Linked DNA regions of Xenopus tropicalis. The protein of the gene in region 4 purifies or fractionates together with the protein of the main gene of each other region. This does not show direct contact. Links are inferred from orthologs where the notes say so. Each region holds a gene or a part of one and is shown on either strand. Other genes may lie near its edges.

Region 1 (2,970 bases), on a different chromosome or scaffold from region 4:
GGCAGGGTATTTACTTGCGATTTGTAGCCGCAACTAGTAGTAGCTGGCTATAAGTAGCTCCATGTGTCATAGCCTTTTATCTGGAAACCTATTATCTAAAAAGCTCTTAAATATGCCAAATGCGGTTTCTTTATGTGGCCATACACAAGCAGATTTAAGCTACTGATTTGGGTCATTGAGACCGATTTGGCAGCTTATTTGCTAGTATATATAGGCCTCCCCAACCGATATCTGGCCGCAAAATGGCTAGATGATGCTCAGGCAGGCTTGACTTTCCTGTCAATCAAGGGCCGCATTGGCTCATTGATGCGGTCCTCACTTAGACAGCTACTATCTCCTTTAGTTGCCTTTTGAAACAAACAATTCTTCATTTTGTATTCATTTGCATTTTCTCTGAAAAAAGAAAACAGCACCTTGTAATTGTTAATAAGCTAGCTTCAATCCATGTTTTAAATGTTATTAGCCACAAAAATGTAATTAGCTACCAACGTAGATACAGGAATATGCTAGTTTTGTTACTGTGAAGTAAAAAGCTCTGTTTAACTGTTACAGAGAAAAAGAAAATGGGTCAAAACTGAACTCTTTATGGATAATGGGTTTCCAGATAATAAATCCCACACCAACAATAGATTCTTCAGCTGTACTTGGAAAAATTATGTGATGGAGACATGCCAGGATTAGCACAGGGCTCTAAGATATATTGCAGATATTCTTAATAGATAATATTACCTTGCTCCACAGGTCTGGGTTGCTGCTGCTCATGGCCAGCCAGAGTTTCAGCTGCATTTGTCCCTGTTGCTGGTGGAGCTGGTCTTGTGTCACAGGGTGTACACGCACTTCCATTGCTGTCTCCTGTCGAGATGTCAGAGCTGGTTGATGTTCGTGGTTTTGCTAGTGATGGTTTTCTTGCTACTGGTGGAGGAACTTTACTTGGCTTTCTCTGTAGCGGGGGTTTCTCCTCTGGGCTCCGTGGTATGCCCTGTGATTTAAGTTCTGCCACTAGGTTTCTCTTCAGTGATGCTTCAGCCTCTTCTGATGCTGGAGGCTCAAACACAAACTTTTTTGACCCCCGGGAAAACACAAAACTGGCAGCAGAGGCAGGAGATCTTTGTGCAGAGGGGGTTTGTTCAGGCTCTGCAATTTTCTGTAGTGGCTTTGTGGTTTCTACATTGCTTTCCCCAGCAGGGCTATTAAAGCCAGGTGGGGATCTCAGAGAGAGTGATTTCCGTACAGGTTTTTGCGGTACAGGGACTCCAGAAAATGCCTGGTTTTTGTGCTCCTGTGGACCTCTGACTTGTACAGAGCGCAGTCGAACCATCTGTAGCAGAGAAGGGGTCACAATAGGCAAGTTAGCATCCTCCTTTGGTGTAGCAGCAACAGACTGATTAGGAGCTGCAATCTTTTTCGAAGGGGCACTCACTGGCTTCCATGTGCTTGGCTTGGGCCTGGGACTACCTGGCACCAGTGGGATGGATGATCTAGAGGTTTGTGATAACGGCACAGGAGCCATAGAAACTGTGCTTCTAGATGCAGTTGTGGAAATAGCTGGATCCACTGTGGATATAGATGAGTCCTTAGCAACATCTGATCCTGTAGTGGGCACAGTGCTGGTGGCACAGTTTAGCACTAATGGTGTGGCAACAGTATGTGATTTATAAGTTACAGATGGCACAAGAGGAGCATGTAAAACATCTGTGATAGCTGGCACCCCAAGAAGTGTAGGCTTTCCAAAAGAAGGTGTGGTCTCTGGGAGAGGCAGCACAGAAGTAGGTGTGGTCTCTATGAGAGGAGGCACAGAAGCATGTGTGATCTCTGTAACAGGAGGGACAGACATAGGTGTGGTCTCTGTGAAAGGAGGGACAGACATAGGTGTGGTCTCTGTGAAAGGAGGGACAGACATAGGTGTGGTCTCTGTGAAAGGAGGGACAGACATAGGTGTGGTCTCTGTGAGAGGAGGCACAGCCACAGGTGTGGTCTCTGCGAGAGGAGGCACAGACACAGGTTTGGTCTCTGTCAGAGGAGGCACAGAGGCAGATGCAAATACTGTGGGAATTGTTGCAGAGGCAGGAATGGGCTGTGGGAGCGTAGGCACAAAGGCAGACGATGGATCTATGGAAAGAGGCACAGATACAGGTGTAGACATTGTTGAAGTATCTGCTGAATTAACTTTAGAAACAGAAACAGGAACAGGCTCTGTGGAATGAGTTGAAGATGTAGAATCAGGAGCAAGAAAAGAGAGAGCAGCAGGTTGGGCCTCTGCGGCAACTGAAATGTCCATGTGTTCAATAGGTAACTGAGAAGGCCCCCTGCAACTTTTTGCCTCCTCTTTATATGAAACAATACATATTTTATCTGAATTTAGTAGAGAATCACATGCAGAGTCCAGTGACGGTGGTGGGGGCAGGAAAAGTTCCTCCTCAGGAGGAGGAAAATCTGCCATAGACGTATCTTGTAAATCAGGGACATCAGGAGGAGGTGGTGGCCACAGAATTTCTCTTTGTTCAAAGATTTTCTGAGAGATGAGCATACTCTGTCTTTCTGAGTCAGATTTTCTGGTAGGTGGTGGTGTGGGGTGATGAGAAGGAGGTGGTGATGCATCTGGTGTGCCACTCGGTGTGTTCACAAGTCCACTAATCTTGCTTGGAGGAGGGCATAAAGGAGCAGGCACAATTGGATGTGGAGGTATTAAACCTAGCCTCCCTTGTTCTCCCACTGAAGTACCAACTCTGGCTGGGCTGGCCAAAATAGGAGAAGTAGCTTCAGCAGAAGAGTTAGTGCTTACTGATGATCCCTCCTTTGCTCTCAGCAAACTTGTTCTTTCTGGTTTTGGAGGAGTTCTCCTGTGGGAACCAGGAGATTCTGAGGATTCAAGCATGGCTTTGGGAGGCAATGTAGGAGTGCCACTTTGACTTGAGTATCCACTGGATGGAGAAAGAGTCCTGTCTGACCGGCTTGGTGAACTTAGCTTTG
Region 2 (3,767 bases), on a different chromosome or scaffold from region 4:
TAACCCTAAAATAATTAATTTACCAGAGACTTGATCATATCTTAGAGATATATATATTATATAATGCATACATTTTGTCAATAAAAATATTTCCTACCATTGTGGTTTCTCGTTGGCTTATTTGCAGATCAGTAAGTGACTCCATATGTATCAGCAGGCCCCCCAGGTTATTGAGAGTCGGGGGGCTACATTCAGCTGCAGGAGGGTATTGGACCTGGGAGAGGCAGCCCGGCCCTGGGGCCAAAAGAGAGAGGCGCCATTTGGCATGTGGGATTAGGCAGATGCATGGGTCTCTGGGGCAGAGAGAGAAGTCTATAGGGGGCAGAAATCAGCTGCAGGGGGCAGAATGTGAGAATGAGACCATTGGTTGGGCCAGAGCTGCAGGTGTAGGAGAGAGGGTTCTGTGTCACCTGGTAGAGAATAGCGAGGAGAGACTTTATTGGGCCCCATCAGAACATTGTCACTTAACCTAATTTAAAAAGTTCTAAAGAACCACGCTGCAGAATAAAAAGGATTCAGAACCCAGTATTTCTAAAGTGGATCTTGCTGAGTAAAGAGTGGAACTCTCTGGCTTATTCATTGGGCAGGACTGTGCAGAGAAATGATGCACTGTATGTATTATTGGTTTGTGAGCCTCGTAATGATATGATTGGGAATGAGGGGGGACTCTTGCTGCTGACTCAGATGATTGACCCATACTGTGATGAGGAATGATTGGGCTTGTTGGGTGGCTCATGTTGGGGGTTTTGCTAGAGGAATGATTGGGCTTGTTTAGTGGCTCTTGTTGGGGGGTTTTGCTAGAGGAATGATTGGGCTTGTTGGGTGGCTCATGTTGGGGGTTTCTGACAGAGGAATGATTGGGCTTGTTGGGTGGCTCATGTTGGGGGTATTTGCTAGAGGAATGATTGGGCTTGTTGGGTGGCTCATGTTGGGGGTTTCTGACAGAGGAATGATTGGGCTTGTTGGGTGGCTCATGTTGGGGGTGTTTGCTAGAGGAATGATTGGGCTTGTTGGGTGGCTCATGTTGGGGGTGTTTGCTAGAGGAATGATTGGGCTTGTTGGGTGGCTCATGTTGGGGGTGTTTGCTAGAGGAATGATTGGGCTTGTTGGGTGGCTCATGTTGGGGGTGTTTGCTAGAGGAATGATTGGGCTTGTTGGGTGGCTCATGTTGGGGGTGTTTGCTAGAGGAATGATTGGGCTTGTTGGGTGGCTCATGTTGGGGGTTTTGCTAGAGGAATGATTGGGCTTGTTTAGTGGCTCATATTGGGGGTTTCTGACAGAGGAATGATTGGGCTTGTTGGGTGGCTCATGTTGGGGGTGTTTGCTAGAGGAATGATTGGGCTTGTTGGGTGGCTCATGTTGGGGGGTTTTCCTAGAGGAATGATTGGGCTTGTTTGGTGGCTCATGTTGGGGGTGTTTGCTAGAGGAATGATTGGGCTTGTTGGGTGGCTCATGTTGGGGGTGTTTGCTAGAGGAATGATTGGGCTTGTTTGGTGGCTCATGTTGGGGGGTTTTGCTAGAGGAATGATTGGGCTTGTTGGGTGGCTCATGTTGGGGGGTTTTCCTAGAGGAATGATTGGGCTTGTTTGGTGGCTCATGTTGGGGGGTTTTGCTAGAGGAATGATTGGGCTTGTTGGGTGGCTCATGTTGGGGGATTTTGCTGGAGGAATGATTGGGCTTGTTGGGTGGCTCATGTTGGGGGTTTTGCTAGAGGAATGATTGGGCTTGCTGGGTGGCTCATGTTGGGGGGGTTTGCTAGAGGAATGATTGGGCTTGCTGGGTGGCTCATGTTGGGGGATTTTGCTAGAGGAATGATTGGGCTTGTTGGGTGGCTCATGTTGGGGGTTTCTGACAGAGGAATGATTGGGCTTGTTTGGTGGCTCATGTTGGGGGTGTCTGGAAGATGATTGAGGAATGGTAGGAAGCCTACAGCATACATCTAGTGCTCTATATAGTGCCCCGGGCCCCCCTGTTTATCTGGGCATTGCCATAAACAAGCAGCTAAGAAATGAGCAGGGCACACAGTGTGATGAACTGTTCTGATCTTTCCTATTGGCTCAGTTAAACCTCTTCTTTTATTGAAGGAATTTTGAGGAGCGCGACCAAGTGGAGGCCCAGAGATACGCCTTGTGCAAGTACGACTTTGTGGCCCGGAACTCAAACGAACTCTCTGTCCTTAAAGATGATGTCTTGGAGGTAATGTGTGGCCACTGTATGGCTTGTTGTTTGCTTCCTAGTGGCATTAAAGGGGAACTCCACCCAAAAGCTGTTTTATTTGTATAGAGAACATCCTCCTAATAAAAAGGCATTTCTGCCAATTGCTTTGCACAGCAGTGTCTGTCCCTTGCTTGCGGAGTTTATCCGCACCCCGAGAATCTGCCTCATGTAGGAGGAGCCTAACAGCTACTGATTTTTCCTCTTGGGTGGAGCCAGAAAAATCCCAAGGGGGGAATCTGTTGTTCTGCTTTTAGTGAAGCCCCCAAATCCTGTAGAGTAAAGTGCAAACATGTGACTCTTGTGTGACTTCCCCAGGTCCTCGATGATAAGAAGCAGTGGTGGAAAGTCCGGAGCTCGAGTGGGGCAGTCGGTTTTGTGCCAAACAATATTTTGGTAGCAATGAAGCCACAAGATCAGTCAGCAAAGCCAATGGAAGCCGCGTACACGCACACAATCCAGGTACCATCTAGCGCCTGGGTCAGTACCACCTGATATGGTGCCCCCGGCACACACACAGCCCAGCCTCTAATGTCACACGTTGATTAATCTGCCCCCATTATATTGCCAAGCTGTGTGTTAGTGCTGATTGTGTCTGTCTGTAGCTTCTGATGCCAAAGGAGGAGTTTGAGATCTTCCAGGTACCACTTCCCCGAGTGCCCCCTCTGATCATTCACTTCTACCTTTGCACTGACTCAAAGTTGCTTTTCCTTTAGCCTCCCTATTCCTTCTGTGTGTTCTCCTTAATGGTACATACCTGTATATCTGTCTGTGTGCGTGCCTGTCCCTTCCCAGAATTCCCTGTGTGTGCATGCCTGTCCCTTCCCAGAATTCCCTGTGTGCTGTGTTTGCATGTCTGTCCCTTCCCAGAATTCCCTGTGTGCCTCTTTTGTTCGTTCATTTGGGCCTTTGGGGGGGCCTGGGGCCACACCTTTCTCAGAGAGGATGTGGCTTTCAATCCCCCTGGGTTGCTGGGGCTTTTGGTTTCCCAGGTGGGAGTGTCTTGGCCTGTGGATGTTATGGAGACATTGGGTGTGTAAGAGCAATATGGCGGCTCTCCTTTGGGTGCCAGTTGTGTTATATCTGACTCTCTCTCTCCCCCCCACCCACAGCGATTACTGGGAGAACTGTCTCAGGTAATTCCTTCTTCCCTACTGCGCTCACCTTTATAAAGCTTGGGGGGGTAAAACCATTATCATTGAAATATACTTATTTAGCAGTATGTGCGCTTGGGTAATCCTAAATAGGAAACCGCCATTTTAAGAATTAAGGGCCTCCCCCTGGGATCATAGGATTCACAGTGCACACAAACAAGCCAAGGCACACATACATGCTAGGCCCCATCAGCCAATGAATGGGCAGTTCTGCCTTTTGCTCTCACACTACTTCCTGTTACAGTTAGAGCTGCATCACTTCCTGTCAGCTGATCTCTGAGGGAGCACACAGCCCATCACTTCCTGTCAGCTGATCTCTGAGGGAGCACACAGCCCATCACTTCCTGTCAGCTGATCTCTGAGGGAGCACACAGCCCATTACAAAATGGCGGCTCAAGG
Region 3 (4,382 bases), on a different chromosome or scaffold from region 4:
TATCCAGAAACACATTACCAACACATTCGAATTATGGAAAGGCCAGCTCACATAGACTCCATTATAAGCAAATAATTCTAATTTTTAAAAATGTATTTCCTTTTTCTCTGTAATAATAAAACAGTACCTGTACTTGATCCCAACTAAGATATAATTACCCCTTATTGGGGGCAGAACAGCCCTATTGGGTTTATTTCATGGTTAAATGATTCCCTTTTCTCTGTAATAATAAAACAGTACCTGTATTTGATCCCAACTAAGATATAATTACCCCTTATTGGGGGCAGAACAGCCCTATTGGGTTTATTTAATGGTTAAATAATCTTTTAGTAGACTTAAGTTGTGGAGATCCAAATTACAGAAAGACCCCTTATCCAGAAAACCCAAGGTTCCGAGCATTCTGGATAACGGGCCCCATACCTGTACCATGTTGTTGCACCAATATTTCTTTTCATTCAAACACAAAACATTAGCTTTGACTGGTTTAATGTAGTTATTAAAATAAAACCGAATAACCGGCTGCTATGAGTTAATGCCCTTTGGCCAGTTTTCCCCCATACTAGTAAAGGGGCAGCTAGCAGCTAGCAGGTAGCTATAAACTTCAGTATCCATAGTCCATAATGAGGCAAACAGTACAGGAAAGAAGCCTATAACTAATAACAGCTTATGGTTGTGCTTAATCATACAGTGCATTCAAGTAGTATCTCTCCAACAATGAACATATTTGCTCTGCCATCCTAATTACAGGCAATTTTAGTTACCCTTTATTATCTATTCCTGTAAGATAGTATCCGCTCTCCCAGCATGCAGTGTTTGATTTCAGGGAATAAAGGTCTCTAGAGAAAGCTGCCATATTACATCACCGCTACCTCCAGGCTACGTCATGAGTGTTGCAGAGAGCTTCAGAGTCAATGGATTCCCGCACGACTATCGGACAGCCGAAACGCCTAATCCCATGTTCCCGGGGGATTTACACAATCCAGCAGCTACCCAATCGCCATAATACCTGTGCTTATAACCCCCTGCACCTGCACCAGCCCTTACCTGTTTCATACGCCCGTCATCATTCCGCACGTCAGTTCCGCTTCGGCCGATACGCAGGCGCAGAAGAGCCTACCGACGCAGCGGCAGACATATTTGTATCGGCTTGTAAAAACCACTCGGGGTGGAAAGCACAGGTTTGAACAACACTCAAATATAGTGACATTTGTTATTTGAACCTTTATAAGCCGTAACTTCCGGTTGTTCACGTCTCACTTATGTTCTTGATGCTTGCATTATTCATTTGAGTCCACTTTAAAGATGGCGGCCACTGGTGAAGGCTGGGGGCGCTTCCGTTCTGACATGCGCAGTAGGTGACGCTGTATTTTTCCCTTGGCTGTGCTATAGATAGGGAGAGAGGCTAAAATGGCCAGTCAGGAGGATCCTGTGCAGAGAGAGATTCACCAGGATTGGGCCAACCGGGAGTACATCGAGGTGATCACCAGCAGCATCAAGAAAATCGCCGACTTCTTGAACTCATTTGGTGAGAGTGGGGGCGGCGCTGTGTCCTGCAGGGGATCCTTCCTAGGGCGTAGGGCCGGCAGGGCTGGGCACTGTATGCCTGGGCGATGGGCAGCGCCTGTGTATAGGATGCCAGCCTCTCCATCCTGCCCTGTTAACTGCAGCTCCCAGAATCCTCTGGGCCTTGTGCATCCCAGTAGCTGTACAGCCTCCAGTGTGACAGTGTCGCCTTGTTATTATCTTACCAATGGCCATGGTGCCTACACTATATAACCATGGCTTGCTACTCCATTACTTGTGTCAAACAAAAGCAATTTATACACTGTACTATATAGATCCCAGCATGTACATTGCAGTGGGTAATTACACTATATATAGAGTGAAGTGTAAGAGTGAAAGCAGCATTTACACTGGGGGTGTAATTAGTAACCTTATTGGGGATATTGCCCATAGTAACCGTCAGATCTTTGCTTTTGTTCTCTAACTGTTCAAATCTAATTGCTGATTAGTTGCTATGGGCAACATCCCTAGTGATGTTGGCTTTCACTCTGTAATAAATAAGCCCCATATGTCTATGAGCAGGGAGAGGGGGAGAATGAAAGCAGCATGTTACACTGTGTGAGTGAAAGCAGGTACATTACAGTGAGCAGGGGATGGAGGGCCCGCACAGGCTGTAGGAATGATGCAGTGATCATGGTGATGGTGGCTAATGGACCTGCCTCTAATGCTTCTTTCCTCACATCCACTAGTAATTGGGTCACTGGGATGCACTGAATCCAGGATTCTGCCAAGATTCTCACACAAATCTATGCCTCTCGCCAAACCTAATTCTTAAAATCAGGTGATTTTTTTTTTTTTAACCCTCAATTGTCCAATTGTCAGTTCGGTATTCAGCCAAATTGTTCACGAAGGATTTGGGGTTCTGCCAAATCCCCAAAATAATGGATTTGGTGCATCCCTATTGGCCACCTTTTCTAAGCAGTACATGAATCTGCATGGTTGAACCACAGAGTACATCCTGGTTGGCAGTATTTGCAAATTAGGGACACTTTGTTGCTGGGTGCCTTTGCCTTATTGTGCCACATCTGCCTCATGTGTGAAGCATAGTGCCATGGTTAAAGGGACCGTATGCCTTCTTTTTAAACATTGGATAATATATAGGTCTTGTGCTGAACATACTTTTGACTGTAAGGAAACGTTTATGGTTTTTTGTAAGCACCGCAGAATTAGAAATTGGGACTAATTTCACTAATATTGAGAGTATTGGTTGACATTGCTCTTTAGGACCAGGAAGGAAACTGTGATTTTAGTTCCATTTTCTAATTTTGCCATGTTTAGTGCAAGAAATAACAAAATCAGAGACAGGGCCACTCCTGCAATGAGGCAAGGCACACCACACATGGTGTGATCGGCCAGTTACCAGGGGTGGCAAAAAGCTGCCTCTGGTAAGTGGTCTGTGCACTAGTGATTCCGCCACCCATTTGACCCACTGATGCTGTAGTTGTAAGTGCAGGGTGGGAAAGGGGAGGCGGCGTCAGGGCTGCTCCCTCAGAAGGATTATGGGATTGGGAGGATGCAGGCTGAGGGCAGCCGACTACTTTATTTAAGTCTCAAAGTAGATCTGCAGAGGAACAGGGGGCTGGGCTTAGGGAACTGTTCCAAACCATATTAAAAATCATAAAAAAAACTGCATATTTTTTTAATTGATGTATTGCTTGAAATTATGTTTTCTTTTTAAAAAGCTTAAATTGTGTTTGGGTGGAGTTCCCCTTTTTTTTGCCCAGTTCCTGCAAATGTAGTAGTTCCTGTTAATGCAATGCATGTAAGTCTATCGGTATCTTTTATTTTTTGTTACACTGCAAATATAGGCAGTGCTCTCTATGGCTGACTTGTGAAATGCGTTGGTCAGTGGTAACCTTATACTCTGCTTTCTTCAAGATATGTCTTGTCGCTCACGACTGGCAACCCTAAATGAAAAGCTGACTGCATTAGAAAGAAGAATTGAGTATATAGAAGCAAGGGTATGTAATGTTATATGTTTTGATTTGGTGGGGGGCACAATGTCACATGGGGCATACTGATATTTTGTTTGTCACTAGGAAGCAACCATGGCATTAATAGGAACCTTTTATAGATCACCCTTGACCTGATATGACTTGTACATGCTGACCTTGTGACTTCCTGTGATGTAACCCCCAGAAATCTGTGGGTCTTTTAGCCACTGAAACAAATAGCATTGATTGAAACACCCTATGTGACCATCTAATGGAAATATATAATGGAGATATATTGCCCAATACTTTTGCCCCCACTGTTAATTTACTGGCTGGCTGACATGCACTGAATGCCACCTGAACTCTCCATATGCCGGCTATGTGTAAAGCCCCCTTTTTGCTTTTAAGCAAGCTTCATGTTGGATAAGCAAGAGAATCAAATGCTTATTCACAATGAACTAATAAAGCTCTTCTGTGCCAAAGGGCACATGTACCATCTCCCCGGCTGTCGGTACAGCAGCAAATGCCTTGAGACTGAGGGGTGGCTATTGGAGAAACCATCTGCATATCAAATAAATCCTTGGCCCTCTGCCAGTCAGCTTCAGCAATTTGCTCTTGAAAATGGCAGCTTAAAAATTACTTAAAGGGCCACTATACCCGCTAGCAGAATGGTGCTCACAAAAGGGCGTATAGCATTATATTAACTCGCTGTGCTAGCTGTGACAACCTTGGGCATTGTACCCTTATGGCCACATCCCAGTAATATATGCAGCCCTAGACACACACACACACTCTGGCTTCATGTATTTGTATTGTAACACAAGTGGAGGCCTAGGGAAGGAAGCTAAATAACAATGGCTGCTTAGGTGTGCTAGTAATACCTTC
Region 4 (3,767 bases):
GTTGTATTTTATTTTTTTAATCCCACACATCTTCCTGTAACATCTAGAAGCTGCGTTATTTCCTGTCAGCTGATCACACAAGGTGGCTCAAAGTAAAAGATGCAACTGGGTAATATCAACTTCTAATTATAAAGCAGCTGAATAAATTTGTATGGCTGGACACTTAATAGCATATAAATGATCTAATATGGTTCAGAACTTCTAGTTCTCCTTTAATGCATGGCAATTCTAGTTATCTCAGTAGATCTGCAAATGTCCATTCAAGCCATATTGTCATTTCATCATAAAATCTGCATTCAAAAAACAAAGGAGGCAGACAGGTCTTGTGGTGCGTAAGGCCAGAAACTGCTGTGACCATCCCTTTAAAGGGCGACCAACAAAAAAAATGGTTCCATTTACTTTATACAAATGCCTGGAGATTTAGGCTTTGGGGCTGTAAGCAGGGTGGAACTTGTTGCCGCCATATAAAATAATCAAACACCAGAAGATAATTATATATACACCCCTTGATGGTCTGTCAGACCCACAACAACCATTTTATGTATATGGAGCCATTTTATTTGTATTAATGGACCTTTAAGGGTAAACTTTTATTTATAACATGCAACGTGTAGTACCAACAGACTTAGATGCAGTGATTTACACACCCATTTAAACAGACAATTGTGTGAGCATTTCATAACAGTGCAAAATAACTACTTTATTGAAGGCCAAGGCTACTGTAAGTAGTATAATGCAGCCAGTGTACTGTAATACAATTTGCAGTTGGTCTTTTTAATGTGAATACAATAAGTTTGTTTTACAGTTCTCCAGTGAACACTATGCAATTACTTGTGTCACTGACTGAAGGGGGGAAAACATACATTTTACACACATTTATATATCTTTGAGAAAAAAAAAAGTCAACTGCAAAGTTGCTTAGATTACCTACATCTTCTATATACTAAAAGTAATGTGAGAAAAAAAAACTTCATGAAACTATGCTTAATTAGATCTTTAAATAATGTCATGACTGCTGATGGTGAGTGAGAACTGCAGTTGTTCCGGGTTATTAAGGCTTTAGCAGTTAAGGGTTAAGGGACTGTATATACCTATACACAACTTTACTCAGCATGGCCACAATAAACAGGACTTGTGCTGACAATGCATTCTGGCTATACTTTTCATTAATCTAGTAATTAAAAGTTGTGTTGCATTTTATAGGAGCACTCGCCCCCCAACAGGTGTGCAAATGCATATAAGGACCTTTATATAAACAAACCCCTCCCTTGCCTATGCTGAAGCTTTTGAGATAAGGAGCAGTGTATTATACAGAGGGCTTATCTGTGAACTGTTCTCTTTTTTTTTTATTATTATTTCTACCACCTACTACTTCTCAAACAGTGACAAGGAAAAACAAGGAAGAAACATGAATTGAGACAGGAAGTTGGAAAGTTAAAGTGGTTATAGTTTTTGTTCTAGGCAAAAAATAACAAAAACCATAGATATTCCTTAATTAAAATAATAGGCAAAAGATATGTTCAGCACAAGCCCAATTCATTGAGCTCTAGATGAAATGGAAGGGGGGGAGGGGTTATCCTGGAGCTATAAGTATTGATATACAGTATATTGATATTTCATTCTACATGTAACTGATCAAAACATTAACCAGTGACATCTTGCCGTAGCACACAGCACAGACAAACACTGCAGGAAAAGACAAGATAAGAACTAAACAAAAAACAGCATGAGAAAATATATAAAGTTGTTGCATAAAAGATAATTCATGTTGCTATAAGTAATAAAGAAAAGATAGCTGCCCTGTTCTTCCCAGCTTATTTTCTCTTGCAGCCATAACATGCAAACCAGCTGGTAAATCAATTAAGGCTTAAATTAAATATAAATCCTTGAAATAAATGTATGTAAAATAGCTCAGAGCAATTTTACAATTAGCTGAAAATTAATTTTATGACAAAAAGAAAGTCTTGTAATGTGGATCTGCTTTGAAAATGAAGATAGTGAGCAGAGAAGAGGCATCTGACGCTTCTCTGGTCGCTTCGAACCAGAGCAACGTTACAAGACATTCCTTTTCTAACCAAATTAATTTTCAGCTGACTGTAGCCAGTTGGCCAAAATGACCAGCAGGTGGTGGTGTTGTTTAAAATTCATTATATTAGCAGACAATATTTCATCAAACATAAATTTGGCTTCTTTTCAGGTCATGGACAGCCCCTATAGATAGAGTATATATTGGAATTCTGTGTTTCTTTAATCTTTCCAGTACCCCCTTGCTTTAGAAGTAGGTAGATTACAGGATGTTATCCAAGTACAGTTATTCCTCACTAAGCCAATATGTGAGTGTTTTGCCAACATATTTCTATTCCATATTAACATGGATGAAGCCACCATACATGAGTTGTATACATACATGAGTTGCATACAAGGGCAGCATAGGAAGCAGAGAAGCAGCTTACTTGAGTTTTGAGAATACAGAGGCCCGCCGTTGACATGAGGTTGGCCAGAGAACTGAGAAGTCACAGAAGGAGTCCGTCTGTAGCCACCAGAAGAAGCAGAGGAAGTGGTGGAGTTGTGCCGAGAGATCTGCCTGGTCATTGAGCCAAACTGGGAACCCGGTGCTGAGCCTGTGCCCACTGCAAACAATTTGCCAGCAGCGATAGCATAGAAAGCAAGGAAGCATCAGTAAAGCGGTAAGGAAGAACCAAGCTAAGCACTGACATCACCCAAATCGCATTTAGGCTTTAATGCCAAAACACATACAATAAAATTGCTGTGCCACTAGATAATTTCTATTGATGCTATAATCCTCCCAAATTCTGTCAAAGACCTTGGTGACTGTCCAAGGTTCAGCCTGCATGCCACTGACTGATCTATTTGCTTGTTTGGCTTACATGCAGGGTCTGACTGGGTTGATTCACAACCCAGAAATCTAGTCTAAAACTCAGAATGTTCCATCCTGCCCAATAAAATTAAATTGGGCAGTTGCATTACTTTGGACCTATTAGTGAACAGATGCAAAGACAATTTGTTCAGAAACAACCCACTGACGCAACAAGAGGCATGATCTTAAATAATCAAGGAATGGAAAATTACATATTTGTTTTTTTTCTGGCTAAGGCCAAGAGTAGGCCATTCCGATTAGACCCCACTCATTTCCACAATTCCACCTACGCTTAACCACTACTAACCCCAGTAAAAATGCTGTTTCCTGGGGAGAAATTACATCAATTATTTCAACAATCCATCACCAAATAATGAGTTAGATATTAGCAGTTTAGATGCATGCTGTTTGCTAAGTACCTATTCTTGTACACTTTCCTTTGTGCCATCACACACTGAATGTTCTGGAGTTTATACAACTTACATGTATATAAGGAAAACTTCCTCACTACATTCATTATGAAGGTTTTACCTCCACGTATATCTGATGGCAAGGAAGGTCTGCAAGATTTCTCCTACGGAAAGCCTCTTAAATGAATGCTCCAAACAAGCTGATGGATATTGATTGCTCTGACATGACTGCTTGCTTGCTGCTAATCAGTTAATAAACAAGTAAATGGAAATTAAATGTGATGTTCTATGGATTTTCTTCACTCTGTTGACATGCTGCACTAATGGGGAAAATAATTCCCAGCAATACACACTTTTGATACAGGAACACAACCAGAGAAAGGGGGGGGAAATCAAACACTTGATCTGTTCCAAACAATATTCCAAAAATATTCTGGCAGAAATTATAGGGGAAGGCAATGTGCAAATGAACTTCCAGT
Region 5 (3,767 bases), on a different chromosome or scaffold from region 4:
TGTTGATGCTGCTCTTGTTGAAGTAGGATATTAGCTGAGTTAACCTTAGAATTATGAAAGTTCTACACACACCTGCAGCAGAGAAGACATTACATTCGCTTTTGGTGTTTCTGCTGAAACATGCTTACAATGGTATATCTGGGACTAAATAACCCCTACAGCCAGATTGAATGACAAAAATACTTCTTTCCTTTGAACTTGCATTGTATACAAAAGAAAGTAGTATTTTTATACAATATATCCATATCAGACATGTCGAATCTACAGGTATTGATAAACGACAGTTCTCAGTATCCCCCAAGGCTGGAAGGTGTAATTCTTAGTGGGTGAGTAGGCTGTGTTTCTTACAATGCAGGATCAGAGGACAAGAACTTTGTGATCCAACAACATGGAAAACTGACAAATTGGTACTCACCACTTCATGTCCGGATCGAACAGCTGATGGGTCTGTTGCTGCTTCTCCTAATAGATAAAAAGGCATAAAATATATATTATTTAAAGGTGAGTCAATATAGATGGGTCAATGCTATCCCAGGAGTCAGAAGGTCAGGTATATTTGGGGGGAACAGTTATTTGCTGTCCAAGATTGTCTAGGCTCTATGGCTAAATGGTTGATACACTAATGATTTCCTGTATCTGTAACTTTTCATTGAGTGAAGTGGGACTCTAAACAATGGGCATAAACCAAAAAAGTCTGACAACCACTGCTCTAGGTTAGTGCTGTATTTCATTTAACAGAAATATAGTTGTACTTTATTCTATAGTACATGAATCCTTATGCATTTATGACACATGAAACTCAAAAACTCAGCCTCACCTGGAACTTTTAATGTTTTCTGTTGCAGCTGAGGACTCCCAGACTCTTGTACAAACTGCTGTGGTTTGTCATGACGCTTGATCTCACTATATAATGGTTCCTGTGGGTACTTAAAATTATAACATAAAGTTATTAAAATGGAAGGGCTAATCTAGGGACACCATAAACCACTTTTAATAAGGGATGGTAGTAAAAGGTATACCCGGTGTATTTCAACGTAGCTTTCGGCACAGCCGCACAGCCCTGCGCTGTGTTTCCCTTATTAAAGGTGGTTATTGGTATCTATAGGCAAAACTAACACCTGCTTCTAAAGCAGCAAGAACGATGCCACCACCTCGAGGGCAGGAGCACTGCTACCCCTGGCCAAGCATTAATGGGTATTACAAGCATATGGGGTTAGGTGCTTAGGCTGCACACCCTGTGCTAGAGCGCATAGAAACTATTGGTTATTTATGGGAACCTACAAGCAAGCATATCGTGGGCTCATTTACTGAGAGGCAGCAGCTTCTAAGTTTATATTAAATTGCATGTTTGCTTTGAACATGTTTTTCTCCATAGATCAAGTTTACCTTAGCACAAGGATTGTTTGCACCTATGTGTGTTTATGTAACATGATTGCCACTAATACATTGCAACAGGGACATTCTACACAACACTTAGTGCAATGTGCTAGTGCAAACAGGCACAGAAGAGTGCTAGGTAGGTTCCTAGACCCCTTAGTAAATGAGTCTACATCACCTCCACGGGGCTTTAAAAGCGAGCACCAGCAGTCCTTCTTTATTACAGACTAAGCCACATTACCTGTGGTGTCTCAATTGACTGTTGCCCCTGATCAGTTGAACTGACAATGATTTTGGTCAAAGATGAGCGAGGTGGCTTTACCATTGGTTTACGTTGTGCTTCTCTCTCCAGGATTTCTGCTGGGGTAACATACTGTGATGTCGGCTGCCTCCACTGGCCTAGCGGGGTGAATGTATTCGGGCCAGGTGCACCCTGGGCAATCTGCTCCATATTGTTCCTGCACAAACAAATGCTTGCATTAGCTGGTTGTGATGAATATATATGTATATTTTGCCGTCTCAAGGATATTTAAAAGCTATGGGGAAAACAGCCCATAGTTGTACTAGGCCATAGAAAGAATTCAATCTAGTTGCCTCACCTTAGTGCTTCAGGACGTTTTGCATTAACACCTGACTGAAAATCAGACACAGCACTGTTGATGTCTTCCTTGATTAAATGTGCCTATAACATAAAAATAAAACATGTAAATGCCTGCACAATAAATATGCAGCCTCAGTCGGTGTTTATGGAGCTGTCTTACCGCAACATAATCAGACTGGAAGAAATACACATCAGGTTTTGGCTGATATGTGTCCTGGCACACCAGTATCAACAGAGGGTGGTTCCTTCTCTCTGGCAGAACTGTATCACATCGCTGGATGGCAGATAAGGGAAATTCTTCTAGTTCCTCCTGCAAAATGTCAAAATAGATATGTAGTTACCCTTTTAAATACACCTGTCTAAATCTGAAGAACAGCAAAAATCTGCAATAATAATTTGCTATTTGCTTGATTCTGTGCAATGCAATAACAGGCTTCAAGTTTTAATTCTATAAGGGTTTTATGTTATTATTTTCTTGTTACATACAAGCAGATAGTTGTCCCATTGTTGATGTGCTTAGTAAAGGTATCCCACTTTATAATGAGCCTTTTTAGCAGATATGACTTGTTGAGCTCCCATTATACCCTTTTGTCCGAAGGCAGGCTTTGTATGCTGGGCTATGGTGTAAAATAATGGCATGCTCACTAGTTACATATCCCTCCTTTACAATAAACATTACAACAGAATAGGCTGAGCACGCACGGCAGCCCTACCCCATGTGTAAAACAGCTAGCTAAGACATCCTCACAATAAGGAACCATCAAACGTCTTTAAAACCATGCAGACTAAACAGGCATTGTGTGCACAGAACATTCCTTCCCTGCATTTGTTCATTAGTTCATATCAGTGGGTGCAGACGCATTGACTCGGCTGGGAAATTCTCTTCACAGCACTGGAAGGGCATTCTCTATTTCTAGGCACTAGGGGTCCTGTTATTCCAGCACTTCAGTTATTTCAGCACTAGAATACATTTAAGTCCCCACTGTAACTAATACTTGTTCTTGTAGATAGCAACTACACTAGAGTGTATTAGGCTTAAAAGGGACTAAAAGCATCTACTAGAGAAGTAGCAGAAAGAGAGAATTCACCTTGCTGTTTACATCTACGAGCTTGACCACTGAACTGTTCACTTCTATTAACATTTCTTGGATCCAGATTTTCCCCTTGCTATCCACTGCATTCAGCTTACGGATGGCATCTTCCACGGTGTGCACATCATCATCCTCCCCAATTGTGAATGTAACCAGATGCTGGCAAGGAAACAGAACAAGAAGTATTGTTACATTGAAAGCAAGGAGAGGATGCTTCAGATCAGATAGGTTCCTGCATATCTATGGTCAATTGTGGCTAATATATAATATGGAGCACTTTCTGCAATAAAGATTTAAGCTGGAAATACACATACATGTTTGCTAGCTGGATTATACAGACGGATATTTATGTAGCATGGATATAGGTTAGTTCATCTTTTTGCCAAGTCTTGCATCTGCTGATGCATTATGTTGGCCTTTCCTTCAAATACTATATAGCAGTGCTGTCATACTTATACAGCTCATACTCATACAGCTTGTTGAAGTGCCAATTTTAATTAACATGATGTTGTCATACAGTGAATGCAGCCTCTAAGGCAGGGGTCCCCAACCTTTCTTATTCGTGAGCCACAGTCAAATGTAAAAAGACTCGGAGAGCAACACAAGCACCATAAAAGTTCATGGAGGTGCCAAATAAGGGCTAGGATTGGCTATTAGGGGCCTCTATGCACTCTATCAGCTTACAGGGGCTTTATTTG
Region 6 (3,767 bases), on a different chromosome or scaffold from region 4:
ATTATATGCTGGGGGGTTGCTGTGCTATCCACATAAGAGGAGGAGGCATATCGATTTAAGTGTATGACATAATATAATTCTTTCATATATAAATTAAGGGTGATATCCCTTCAGTGAGCACCAACCATTGGGTTTTTGCTGTGTTGCCACCATTAATGTGGGGATGGTCTTAAAAGCTCTTGTGATAGCATGGGTGCAGTTTGAAGTGGGTGTGGTTTAAAAAAGGGGAGTGGTCAAAACTGGCTTCCATTATCAGCCCTCCACCATGTAGGCAAGAAAAATTCCAGCCCTTGGTACCACAGAAGTTGGACAGCACTGACTTAGATAATCAGAAGTTGCGCAAAGTTTCCTCCTGCTGGCAACTTCGCAGGAGTTCGGATAAAGAAGCGATGCAAAAGGGCTTTCGACCAGGACTGCTGTTGTTGCTGGTGGAAAGCCTTTTTTCAGGGACAGTTTGTCGCCTGCGATAGCAGAAATCTATCACAGGCGACTCCACCGCCGCTCCGTTGGTTCTTGCCCTTAGTTTCACTGGAGCAGGCACTAGAGTGAATAACTAACAATGTAATGTTTTGCATAACATGTTAGTGCTGTGTAAATAAAAGGAAAAGAAAAATATAGGGGAAAGCAGTAAGATATTTCATAGCTTCTGCTGCAGGTATTGGATCCGTTATCTGGAAACCCATTATCCAGAAAGCGCTGAATTAATGGTAGGCCATCTCCATAGCCATAGACCTAATTTTAAGCAAATAATTCAGTTTGTTAAAAATGGTTCTCTTTTTCTCTGTTATAATAAAACAGTACTTTGTACTTGATCCCAACTAAGAAAAACTTTATCCTTATTGGAGGCAAAACCATCCTATGGGGTTTATTTAATGGTTTAATGTATTTTGTGATGCAAATTAAAAAAAGATCCCTTAACCAGAAAGACCTAGGTCCTAAACATTCTAGATAACAGGTCCTGTACCAGAATAAAAATGCTTAAAAATATATGTAATTAAGGTTATATTTAAAGGGTTTGTGTATAAAGAAGCTTTAGAATACATTAAGCATCTCCACTCTAGTGCTATGGTACACCATGTCAATATCTGCATAATTGCAAAGTTGTACTTTGAATGTGGGTATACAGGTATGGGATCCCTTATCCAGAAACCCGATATCCAGAAAGCTCCGAATTACGGAAAGCCTGTCTCCCATAGACCCCATTTTAATCAAATAATTCAGATTTTTAAAATTGATTTTCCTTTTTCTCTGTAAAAATAAAACTGTGCTTTGTATTTGATCCCAACTAAGATATAATTAATCCTTACTGGATGTAAAATAATCATATTGGGTTTAATTAATGTTTTATTGATTTCTTAGTAGGCTTAAGGTATAGAGATCCAAATTACGGAATGACCCCTTATCCGGAATACCCTTGGTCCCGAGCATTCTGGATAACAGGTCCTATACCTGTTTATTGTAGCAGGTTTTAAATGTAAAATATGTTTAAGTATTTGTGTACAGAACTATGTCCATGCTGGTTTTATGGTCCTCTACATTTCATACCCCTTATCTGTGGACAGTCATTATGCACAATGTTATAAATATACCCCCTTAGTGTATTTAAATGCATATTTCTTAATGATTCTAAAGCTATAAGGAGTTTATAATAAGATAGGAACACATAATGAATTCTATGAAAGATGGTCTTCCTGTAATTTAGAGATTTCTGGATGACTGCTTTTCAGATAATGGATCCCATACCTGTACAACAGATTTGCCAAAAGCTACAAATGTTAAAATCATTTTTTTTTTACCAAAAGACAAAGCTGTGTACTTTTTGCTGATCATATTTTATTTAGCAGAGCCTAATTTAGAGTAGATTCAATATGGCTTAACTAACACATCATTATAGCAGTCTAGACACACTCTCTTTTAATAATGCACAGTCTGAAATGACCTTAATTCTAACTTAGTGTTTGAAAAAACCTTTAGATCAAAAGCTTATGCAATGTCTAGGGTACTTTGACACCGGTTTATTGCTGTTCAGCAAATCTCAACAAGGTGAGGTTTGGATGGATCATAAATACTGTACATACTTTGAAAAAAAGGTTAATTATGATTATAATGGTAGTTAACTATTGAGCCTAACTATTATTAGAGACAAGTTTTCTTTTACAAAGGAACGCCTCTGTGCACTGGGGGTACCAAATGTTAGGTACCCTCCCAGTGATTGTAATCACTTACCCGATACCCTGGGTCATTGCTCCTGTTAGCAGAAAACTGCACCAGCTTGGGGTACTTCTCAACAAGCACCACAGAGCGTTCCTCTTCTTCCACTGCTTCTTTATTCATTCCCCCGGGGCTGACCATGCATAGTAGAGTTGTACTTCTTACACTACTGCACATGTGCACTTGCACCAAGAAAGAATAAGCAGGAAAAGAATTGCTCCATAAAGCTCAATGAAGAGTAAGGGGGCACTAGCCTGAGGTATCAGGTAAGTCATTACCTGATACCCGCTTCCCCAGTGAGTGAAACTTTCCTTCTCCTTTAATGACATATTATAGGTTTTATCTAAATATTTATAGTATTTAGGCGTATTTAGTCATAGACCTGCATGGTGGCTTAGATCTTGGAACTCCTGCCTTGCTGCTTTGAGGTCCTAAGTTTGATTTACACTTGGGAACTTACTACTAAAACTGATCCAACTGAACATCGGGGGCTGTCAATGATGAATAATCTCTGTAAAGTACTTATAAGTTGTGGCTGCATATAAATAAAGGATAATAATAGGTTTGCCGTGAATGCAAATTCTTACAGTACTCAGTATGAGACATGTACATTTAAACGGGAAGTGTAGAACTTTGAATAAAATGTTTACTTACCCTTTAACAATATTTTTAAAAGAAATTTGGCATCACTAACATTACCATTCATTAAACCGTTTTTAATACTTATTACAATGTACTTTGTACATTGTACAAAGTCTTTTATTAAGTATTGGTTGTAGTTATATAGCACTTTAATACTGTAATAAAATGTTTATTGTCTTTATTGGCAGATTGACTCCATGAAAGATGACAGAGGAAGTCATTGTTATTGCCAAGTGGGATTATACGGCACAACAGGACCAAGAACTTGATATTAGAAAAAATGAACGCCTGTGGCTACTTGATGACTCCAAAACCTGGTGGAGGGTAAGAAACACTGCCAACAAAACTGGATACGTGCCATCAAACTACGTGGAGAGGAAGAACAGCTTAAAAAAAGGATCTCTTGTTAAAAATTTAAAGGACACTCTGGGTAGGTTTCTACATTTTAATGTAAATTTTAACACAGCAGTATTTAAAGGGAGATGTCTACCCAAAACCTTTTGCATAATGAAAAATATAATTGTAAGCAACTTTCACATGAGTTAAACATTTTTAATGGTTTTAAAGTAATTTTAAGTGTAATTGCAAATATGTTTCTGGTTCTGAAGCAATATCCAGCTGATGAACAGATTTGCAGGAGGAATGACTGAAAGAGATAAGGAAATACTACTTTTGATAGCAATTACATTTACAAATAAAACCATAGGAATTTTTTTATTAATGTATGTTATTAGTGCCCAAAGCTCACAGTGCTTCTAGAATCAGTGCTACTACATTAAGTGTCGGCAGATGCACTTCCAGTTGTGCCAGGGAACTTGGATTTTCTGTATAGTAGCAAAGTGCATGTGCTTGGCACAGGTGTATGGTGTGTTAAGGGGCTGTCATTATGCCTCCTGTAGCACTCATGTACTTAT

Evidence for each region.
Region 1: the proteins of abi1 (region 4) and kiaa1522 purify together in Homo sapiens (affinity purification with mass spectrometry; 3 studies listed by BioGRID and IntAct, with this or other methods). This does not show direct contact. The link is inferred for Xenopus tropicalis from reciprocal best matches to the Homo sapiens genes ABI1 and NHSL3.
Region 2: the proteins of abi1 (region 4) and eps8 purify together in Homo sapiens (affinity purification with western blotting; 4 studies listed by BioGRID, with this or other methods). This does not show direct contact. The link is inferred for Xenopus tropicalis from reciprocal best matches to the Homo sapiens genes ABI1 and EPS8.
Region 3: the proteins of abi1 (region 4) and brk1 purify together in Homo sapiens (co-immunoprecipitation; 3 studies listed by BioGRID and IntAct, with this or other methods). This does not show direct contact. The link is inferred for Xenopus tropicalis from reciprocal best matches to the Homo sapiens genes ABI1 and BRK1.
Region 5: the proteins of abi1 (region 4) and eps8l1 purify together in Homo sapiens (co-immunoprecipitation; 4 studies listed by BioGRID and IntAct, with this or other methods). This does not show direct contact. The link is inferred for Xenopus tropicalis from reciprocal best matches to the Homo sapiens genes ABI1 and EPS8L1.
Region 6: the proteins of abi1 (region 4) and nck2 purify together in Homo sapiens (affinity purification with mass spectrometry; 3 studies listed by BioGRID and IntAct, counting the BioPlex papers as one, with this or other methods). This does not show direct contact. The link is inferred for Xenopus tropicalis from reciprocal best matches to the Homo sapiens genes ABI1 and NCK2.

The regions. Positions count from the first base shown.
Region 1 is NC_030678.2:90,219,532-90,222,501, forward strand, and holds part of kiaa1522 (uncharacterized protein KIAA1522 homolog), read right to left. Parts: coding exon 730-2,970; intron 1-729. UniProt on the Homo sapiens protein: Able to directly activate the TNF-NFkappaB signaling pathway.
Region 2 is NC_030679.2:157,843-161,609, reverse strand, and holds part of eps8 (epidermal growth factor receptor kinase substrate 8), read left to right. Parts: intron 1-2,084; coding exon 2,085-2,196; intron 2,197-2,532; coding exon 2,533-2,676; intron 2,677-3,767. UniProt on the Homo sapiens protein: Signaling adapter that controls various cellular protrusions by regulating actin cytoskeleton dynamics and architecture. Depending on its association with other signal transducers, can regulate different processes.
Region 3 is NC_030680.2:128,858,331-128,862,712, reverse strand, and holds the start of brk1 (protein BRICK1), read left to right. Parts: upstream 1-1,390; 5' UTR 1,391-1,407; coding exon 1,408-1,525; intron 1,526-3,441; coding exon 3,442-3,524; intron 3,525-4,382. UniProt on the Homo sapiens protein: Involved in regulation of actin and microtubule organization. Part of a WAVE complex that activates the Arp2/3 complex. As component of the WAVE1 complex, required for BDNF-NTRK2 endocytic trafficking and signaling from early endosomes.
Region 4 is NC_030682.2:24,995,564-24,999,330, reverse strand, and holds part of abi1 (abl interactor 1), read right to left. Parts: intron 2,631-3,767; coding exon 2,454-2,630; intron 1-2,453. UniProt on the Homo sapiens protein: May act in negative regulation of cell growth and transformation by interacting with nonreceptor tyrosine kinases ABL1 and/or ABL2. May play a role in regulation of EGF-induced Erk pathway activation. Involved in cytoskeletal reorganization and EGFR signaling.
Region 5 is NC_030683.2:104,747,136-104,750,902, reverse strand, and holds part of eps8l1 (epidermal growth factor receptor kinase substrate 8-like protein 1), read right to left. Parts: intron 3,229-3,767; coding exon 3,067-3,228; intron 2,289-3,066; coding exon 2,139-2,288; intron 2,060-2,138; coding exon 1,977-2,059; intron 1,836-1,976; coding exon 1,619-1,835; intron 927-1,618; coding exon 818-926; intron 463-817; coding exon 416-462; intron 1-415. UniProt on the Homo sapiens protein: Stimulates guanine exchange activity of SOS1. May play a role in membrane ruffling and remodeling of the actin cytoskeleton.
Region 6 is NC_030678.2:110,097,312-110,101,078, reverse strand, and holds part of nck2 (cytoplasmic protein NCK2), read left to right. Parts: intron 1-3,041; 5' UTR 3,042-3,057; coding exon 3,058-3,283; intron 3,284-3,767. UniProt on the Homo sapiens protein: Adapter protein which associates with tyrosine-phosphorylated growth factor receptors or their cellular substrates. Maintains low levels of EIF2S1 phosphorylation by promoting its dephosphorylation by PP1.